Arabidopsis thaliana: one gene and its partner. The protein of the gene in region 1 interacts with the protein of each later gene in a pairwise test. Each region holds a gene or a part of one and is shown on either strand. Other genes may lie near its edges.

Region 1 (4,820 bases):
CGATTAGGCGTTTCTGGAACTAAATCATCTCTGTACATGTTACAACTGTTTCTTCTGCAATTACACGGCTCTCTTAGAACATTACGATTGACACCAGTGGTTTCTTTACTTTGAATGAAGATGCTGTAAGTTTAAGTTTTTATGTGTTGTGTACCTGTTGTTGCAGTTTCAAAGAAGGAACAGGATATACAAGGAGGAGCAGCGTAAACTAAGAGCAGCTTCGAGGAAAGGTGAAGAAGCCGGAGATGGGACTCACAACCATCACTAGTCTCAACAATCCTCCTTCAAGCTTCATCCGATTCCAGAGAAGAATAATAAAAGGTTCATGGAAGATTTTGTATCTTGGAATCTCTAAACGCTTTGATTGTTTTTCAGTTTTCAATTTTATCCAATCATGTTCTGCTTTCTTTTTATGTTAAATCGTCTCTTTGAGACGTATACTTTTCCACCTGAATTATGGACATGTGGATTGTGGATCATTTACTTCTTCACTATTACTCCATCCAACCAGGAACAATGGCAACATTTTGTCGATAACTTGTGTTTAATTAATTATAACAATTGTTCTTGGAAAGCTCACAATGTACATTGGAAACCAGTTATAGTTACATCATAAACAAGTTTTGATCGATCAAACAAGTCCCCAGTTTTCTTTTATACATTGATCATTAAGCCTGATAGAATTCTCCCAGGCGACTGTAGAGTTCTGACACAACTTCTCTCAGAAGTGTCTATGCCACAAGCTAGGGATCGTGCGATGATTCGATGGGACAGGGAAATGTGGGAACCAATCTCTCTCCCATGCATGAATTTGATCGGTTTCTGGTTCATGGTGTCCACCTGGATAAATGAAGAATCCAACGTTCTGATCTGGCATTGGTGGGGGAGGTGGCGGCGGCGGTAATCCCCTTCTTGTCATGGAGATGAGAGGTGATGCGAGAGTGGGACCATTGGCATGATGTTGTTGCCTCTGATGATTATAAGCATGATGCTGTTCACGCATTTGGGTGCTGCTTCCTTGGTAACTGTTAATTGCTGGTGAGGACCTTTGATTAGACCTACAATGCCCAATTCCAAAAGAATATTGTAAAACACTCTGCAAGAAGTTGAGAGCAATAGGGAGTTTGAGAAGCTAACCGGTGACTAAAAAGAAATGGATGCGCATAAGGTAGGCCTCGTGCTGCTGAAGAGTCAACTTCACCATCAACCACATGAGCAGCGGGTAGTGAAAACGATGGGGAATGGTGATGATACTGGGGGGCAACAGGAAGCTGGTGAAAGTGATCGTTAGAGTGGCTGTTCCAGGGATGATCATCTGTGCTGTTATTGTCGCTAGTTCTCGGGGTAGCGGCTGGGCCAGGTCCAACATATGCAAGATACGAATGATTCACAGCAGCGGCGTGATGTCCATGGAACTCAGTATGATCTAAGGAAGAAATATGGGTTTTGACATTATAAACGGATTGCTAGACAAAATGAAATGATTATATACAGAACAATCAGCGTCTAACTTACATGTAGTGGTTGCAGGTTCCAGTTCCCTGAAACACAGAGCAAAAGTCAATTCTAGCTTTCGCGTTTGAAGGATCAAAAGCCTTAGAAAAGAGAGATAATAGCAAAAACCATGGTAAAGGTGTTGTAGGCTTACTCGAAAGAAGCTGCTGCTTGAGAGAGTTCACCAAACGGGCACCAATGGACCCGATATTGCTGCAAACCCCGTAAAAATGTCAGGATAAGCGATCTCTCATAAGGAGGTTATATGATAAAAGCACAGTTCTCATGTACACGAAAAGAAAGCATATCGTTGCACAAAGTAGTGAGCTTTTACCATTTCCGGATAGCTTAAACCGTACAAGTCTTCTTCAGGGATCCAATCTTCCATGGAAAACTCTGGAAAGGGGCGAGTAGAACCGTTTGCATACAACCACTGACCCTTTTCGACATTGCGACAGTTAGGGCATTGCATGGCTCCTTTCATGTTAAATGCTGATCCAATGCAATCTGCAAGAAACCAAAAAACAAGCTGCTAAAGGGAAAGCCGAAAATAGCAACAAATTCAGCAGCCAGATAATAGAACTAGCAAGCCTCATTCTATATCTACACAAGAGAAGAAACCGATTCACAAGTTACGACACACATTTGTCAGAACTCGATCATTTCTAGGATCAACCAACTGCAGAGTCGTGGCAATCTAAGCTTGTAAACAAAGCAAGGGATTAGGAATCCATCTATATTCTCAAATTCATTCAATTATCGTCCAAATCTACCATCAGATAATTGCACAAAAGCTTGTACAAGCAAAAAGCCATCGGATCATCAAACTGTGATGGAGGGAACGCAAAATGGTAAGAGATGGAGGAAGGGAATGAAATACCCAAATGGAACTGGTGACCACATTGGAGCTTAGCCTTGGATCTGGTACCATCATCGAGCACCGATTCGAGGCAAATCGAGCACGAGACTTCGACAGGAGACGAGGAATCCTCCGGGTTCCCGCGTTTTCCAGGGTCACATCCACCAGCAATTCGGAGATCATCATCGCAACCCGAATCTTTAGCTCCGGCCATATCTTCACCAGCAGGCCAAATCGGAGGGAACCAACGAAAATTTTCGTTTTTCGAAAGAACAAAAAAAAAGAAAAGAAAGGATTGTCAAACAAAAATCAATGAGAAACCATGTCTCGCTATCGCTATCTGTCTCTCCGAGTTCGTCTGCCTTTTGGAACGCCGATGCGGTAAATCTATCCTTCCTCTTCCTCTCTCTCTCTCTCTCTCTCTCGTCCGACCTGTTAGAGATGACGTGGTTCAAAACCGGACAATGACATTGGACTCTCCCTTTTCTTTTCTTTCCTCTCCCATTGTGGATAATTTTTTATTATTATTTTATTACTTTAGTTTTGGATAGATGATCATCAAACCATCCATCCATCTGAACCAACAACCAAACTATAAATTTGTTCATTTAAATCATTAATCTCTATTTAGTTGATTTGTTTTCTTCTCTAGTCTCTTTCATATGAAGTTTATTATAACTTTCACATCCATTTTGTTATGAGAAAGATTAGCATATTATAACACACGAATATTGATTGTCTAAGGATACCAAAACATTGTATGTAGTAAACAATTACACATATAGATGCAAATGTATATTGTCTTGAATCGTTGTTTCACATCAAGCTAATATTATTTCACTTTATTCTTCTGAATTAGAAGACTATGCAGAGACTTTGCTTTGACCGAGTAGCCTTCCCTTAGGTTTCAGACCTTGATCTTAGGCTTCTTCACGATCATCACCGAGCAATGAGCATGATGAGCGCAGTAGTCACTCGTACTCCCGAGAACCGCCCTGCCACACAAACCGACAAGTGAATCAGAATGGGTGTATAGTTGAAAGATTGATCATAAGAATTAAGGCTGAATGAAATAATACCTCTTGATAGCTCCATATCCATGGCTTCCCACAACAAGAATAGAAGCATGATGCTTATCTACAACTTCACATAGGATATTCCTTGCATCACCTTCGAAAACTTCGATCACCGCGCCATGAACCTACACAACAAACCTAGGAATGATGATTGAAAAGAAGAAGATAGTTGCTAACCAAAGATAGATAGTTACTATAAGAAAAACCAGTGCTACTTAGCTTGAAGCTCTTAAATGTGCTAGAGATTCACATTCACATTACCAAACTCATCTAATAGAGTCCAATACAACACATGATGACGATTATAAAATCCAAGAAACACATAAAACGAATTTGAATGTTTGATAATAGCAAGATCGTACCGATCTGCTCTGACAAATTGCTTTGGCTTTCTCGACAACCTTAGCAGCGGTATGCTTCAGATCAGCATCAACATAAGGTACAACCTCCGCAGTTCCTAAAACACACAGATTAACAAAACCTAAATGATCTCTCCCCATCGCTGCCCAAAACAGAACCCCTAGAAGAGTAGATTCGAGAGTGAAAGCAAAGAGCGTACCGGGACCAGCGAGACCAACGGCGGAGACGGCGTTAGGTTTGGCGTGGACGATGAAGAGCTTAAAAGGATAATTGGGAGCGTAAGGAGCGAAGAAACGATCGAGCGTCCACTCCAAGGCGTAAGTGCTCTGCTCGCTGTCGTCAACTCCGACGACCATCACCGATTTCCCATCTCCGGTGGCCATGACTCTGACGTTGTTCGCCGGCGTGAAGAAAACGCGCTCTTGTGTTTGTGGTAGAAAGAAGCCTAGAAGAATCCTCCAAAGTGTTTGCACAGAAAAAGAGAGTTTTGGTATCTTCTTCTTCTATTATTTAATTTCTTTAAATAAAAAGAAAAGAGGAATGTGATACTTTGATTTGATGACGTGGCTGGTCCTCATTTCTTTATGCCTTTCCATTAGTAAATTTCCCAATATTTAAAGTTACCCACAGATTTTAAATAAGAAGAACCCACAGATTTTACACAAAATTTATTCTAATTTGAATATTACCCATAAAACAAAGTACATAAAAGGATTTTGCAGGTTAACAGTTATTAGCTTTTTAGTAACAAACTGATATGAATTGGTTTGATAACTTTCGATTTTACTTGGAAATTAACTATTACAAGAAAAATCTAATTTCAAATAGTGGAATGATTTGAGTTGGGTAAAATCCGGCTCAGATGATAACAATTACAAAATAAAAATGAGACGGCCGGCTGTAGAATAATATGACGACGTGAAGCAAAAGCAGGAGTGCGACAGAAACCTCTCTAACCAAATTGCTTTTAGTTATATTCTTCTTCGTCTTGACGCTACTCTTTACCTTTTTTTATCTGATTTCAGATTTCT
Region 2 (3,443 bases), on another chromosome or scaffold:
GATTAGCTAGTCGAGAGAAGTTCTTGGTTATTTGGTGAATACTGTTTCGACCATTTGTCGAAAACACGCGTGAAGTGATGATAGCAACATCTATGACAAGTTTTGTCTTTTAATGTTTTCTTACATATGGAGCAATGTGATGCCCTTCTAATAATCTCTAACAAAGAGAACCCCATTGGATGCTTTATTAGTTTATTTAACGTTACATGTATTTTGGTATATACTACCAAAGAATTGTATTTGATATTGTGTTTAATTTTTCTTCTAGTACTCTTTTGCTTTTAGTGTCACAATCATCCTACACAGCAACTGTCTTCATAGTTTATTTCTATCTGTTTTGTTCTGTTTAAATGTCTTATTAGCAACTTTTAAACAAATAGAATGATTGTTCTAACTTTTAGGTAACCTAACTTTGAATTATAATATTAATTCCTTTTTCTTGTGACTCTGAAATCAAATCTTCCCACAGATCTCAATATTCACTTTTCTTCTCTTTTTTCCTTTACTCTATACTTTATACGGTTGTTGGATGTCTACTTGAAATCCATTAATGTATAGTTAATAGTTTACAAATCTCAGACTAAAGTAGATATGTGAAAAAGATGTACATTAGATTATCTTTACTAGAAAAAAATATACACAAAATAGTACTAACAATCACATGAAAAAACAGTAAAAAGACACTAAATTCAAGAATCAAGAAAAAGAATCTCAAAGCTTGAGGGACAAGTCAAGTTTCTGCTGCTCTTCATGATGACTTGTACTTAACAACAATCCTTTGTCTCCGTGCCATTGTTCAAGAGTCGGTGACCCTTCTAGAACCCGTCCTGTGTTGCTTGGGCTATCGATGTTATTGGACCGTGAATTTACTGAAGGAGCCATCATCATCATCTGATGATGATGATGATGAAAATTATCCATTGAGGGAAATTTACCTATGGCTGGTTGTTGATCAAATGGAAGTCTTGACCAGTTGATCTGACCATAGTGACCACCAAACCCGTTATAAGAACTTAGCTTGTGGCTTATCGAATGCGCTTGGATCCCTAAAGACCTATGGTTGTTGTACTGTCCGTGGAAAGGAAGTGGAGAGAAACCGTAAGGATGTCCAAAAGCTGAGGCTGACGCTGCCATACGTTGTCCTCTCTTCGCCAACGTTCTCTCTCTCTTGTGTGCGTTTTGGTGACCACCAAGTGCTTGTGAGCTATAGAAAGTTCTTTGACAATAGTTGCATGAGAAAAGCTTTTGTTCTGTGGATGTTGTAGATTCGTTAACGATACTCGTTGTGTCGTCTATGCAGTCGATGAGATTGAGTTCGTGACTAGAATTATGAACGTCTCTTTCTTCGTCTTCGATGCTCTGGTTTAGAGAATCTTGATATGGAAAAGCAGTGGATGAGGAAACTATTGAAGCGTCCATGAGAGCTAAAAAGGGATAGATTTTTTCAGGAGATGATTTTTTTCTTTCTCTTTCTCTGTCTCTTTCTATCAATAATAGCTATGAGAAGAGGTTTATATCAGTGAATGGGAGCAGAAGTAGATGGTATTAGAAAGGAATAGACAAAGGAAACAAAGACCCTACACTAGAACATTTTCTTAGGGTTTTGTAATAAGTGGACCAAAGTACTATGATGAGAGCGATAGGTAGGTTTGGTTTGCTGTCACACCCTTCTCACAAAACACTTTAAAGCTAGTTGATTGGAACTCCACCATCTAAATACCTCTATCTATATATATGACTCTTACCCTTTTTGGCTGCTTCCTCCTTCAATAGTCCAACAAATACATTAAGTGTGTAGAATTTAAATTTCGCTTTGATTCCGGTTCAGATTTATTTGGGTTTCTAGATTTTCAGTTTATGAATGACCAAATATCTAAGTAAACCAAATGAGTACTATACCATTGGTAATCCACAATCCATAATAATTTTTTTTTTGTAGTGCATGTTAAGGAATCCTTTAATATTTTAAGTATGAACATTTTCTAAAAGAAGTTAAGGGATCGAAAAGACAATGGAAAACGAAGCAGTTTCTCAAAATAGTAAGTACATCATGATGAAATGACAGAAGAGAAAGATGACAATAAAAATTGAAAAGGAAGAGTACTGTTCATGGACCATCCAAATTTGTTCAGGTCTGTTTATGTCTACTTTTGTATAACTCCACGAGGTAAGTGACCATTTCTGTCTCCTTTGGCTTCTCGTGTGGTCCTCTCCTTCATCTATTCTTTCTTTTGTCTTCTATTGAGTCAAACCAAAGCTCAAACTAATCACAAAGTAAAAGAACTGGTTATTCGAACTTTGTAATAATAGTTAAGTAAGTATTTCGGGTAAGAATATAGATCGATGATCTTGACAAAGCACCTGGTTAGAACAACTTGGAAACCACTCGTACGTTCATTATTATATTTATCGATTTTACTTTGTATCTTAGTGAGAAATTGTAGACCATGTATATGACTTAAAGAATATTTCGTCTTTATGATGGATCAACCTTTCTCTTGTTGTGTAATCTTAAAGGAAATGATATTTGAAACTTCCACACGCTCTTCTACTTTATCATCTAAAGAGTTTAGTGGATTTGTCAATATGAATTTTGGTTTCCCACTTAATTTCACATCATGACATACAACTAGGTTGCATGACAAAAGTCACTTTCTTCAACCAATTAATACTTTTCTTTTGGAAGCCACATCGGCAAGATCAAACCCACTTAAGCTTTTGATAACAATCTAAACCACATTTCCAAAGTTTTAGTTTAAATTTATTTAGCTAAATTTGAATTACTTTAGCTTGTAATGAAAGAGAAAAGATCTAATGGTTTAAAGTTATGTATATTTGTCGTATGCCAATTGTGACCTAGTTGATGGGTCCAACGTTACATATGGCCGACACAAAAATGGGAAAAAGCTAATTAAGAGTTTTCAGTTTCTAATTAATGGCTAATTATTTTCATAAGAAAACTAATTTTCCTTTAATAAATGTATATGTGAAGTTCTTTCTGAGTTATATGACATCTCCATTTAAGTATACCTTCGTTCTTTGTTTCATCAATCCTCAATACTCAATAGATTGATCATAAAATGTTAGATTAGTGAGTAATGTGAAATCGTGAATTGGGAAATTAAAGTGTATTATGGACTATGGTAGCTTAATGAGTATAACAATTTACCACGTTGTATTTATATGATATAGGTCACATAGTCATCAATCATAGTCAAAAGATACAGATGAGAACATTGGATCTTACTTTAAACAGATGGTGACATGTAGCTATTCATAATTTTCCCTGTATGTAGAGAGATTTGATTCGTCTTTCAAATCTCTTTGTTTGACAAAGCTTTTGTGTATTTTTTAATCTGTCAATGCTATCGGTAAGTAATTAAGTATCATATAGTAAAAGTATTAACCACTAACCGGGTTCATCTAAGTGTTTTTGGGCCTTA

Evidence for each region. Proteins that work in one complex are often made in the same cells at the same time.
Region 2: the proteins of RFI2 (region 1) and ZFP3 interact in binary tests that used the Arabidopsis thaliana proteins (3 or more experiments, as listed by UniProt).

Annotation. Positions count from the first base shown.
Region 1 is NC_003071.7:19,551,785-19,556,604, forward strand, and holds RFI2 (RING/U-box superfamily protein), read right to left. Parts: upstream 2,864-4,820; 5' UTR 2,568-2,863; coding exon 2,375-2,567; intron 2,002-2,374; coding exon 1,829-2,001; intron 1,708-1,828; coding exon 1,649-1,707; intron 1,542-1,648; coding exon 1,516-1,541; intron 1,427-1,515; coding exon 1,138-1,426; coding exon of another isoform or gene 1,059-1,137; coding exon 722-1,058; 3' UTR 530-721; downstream 1-529. Other genes in the region: AT2G47690 (NADH-ubiquinone oxidoreductase-like protein), read left to right, coding at 167-268; AT2G47710 (Adenine nucleotide alpha hydrolases-like superfamily protein), read right to left, coding at 3,261-3,348, 3,433-3,554, 3,792-3,886, 3,989-4,172. UniProt on the Arabidopsis thaliana protein: Mediates phytochrome (phyA and phyB)-controlled seedling deetiolation responses such as hypocotyl elongation in response to red and far-red light. Required for light-induced expression of LHCB3 and CHALCONE SYNTHASE (CHS).
Region 2 is NC_003076.8:8,685,500-8,688,942, reverse strand, and holds ZFP3 (zinc finger protein 3), read right to left. Parts: upstream 1,756-3,443; 5' UTR 1,420-1,755; coding exon 712-1,419; 3' UTR 528-711; downstream 1-527. UniProt on the Arabidopsis thaliana protein: Acts as a negative regulator of abscisic acid (ABA) signaling during germination and early seedling development. Involved in the regulation of vegetative development and fertility. Modulates red light signaling in seedling photomorphogenesis.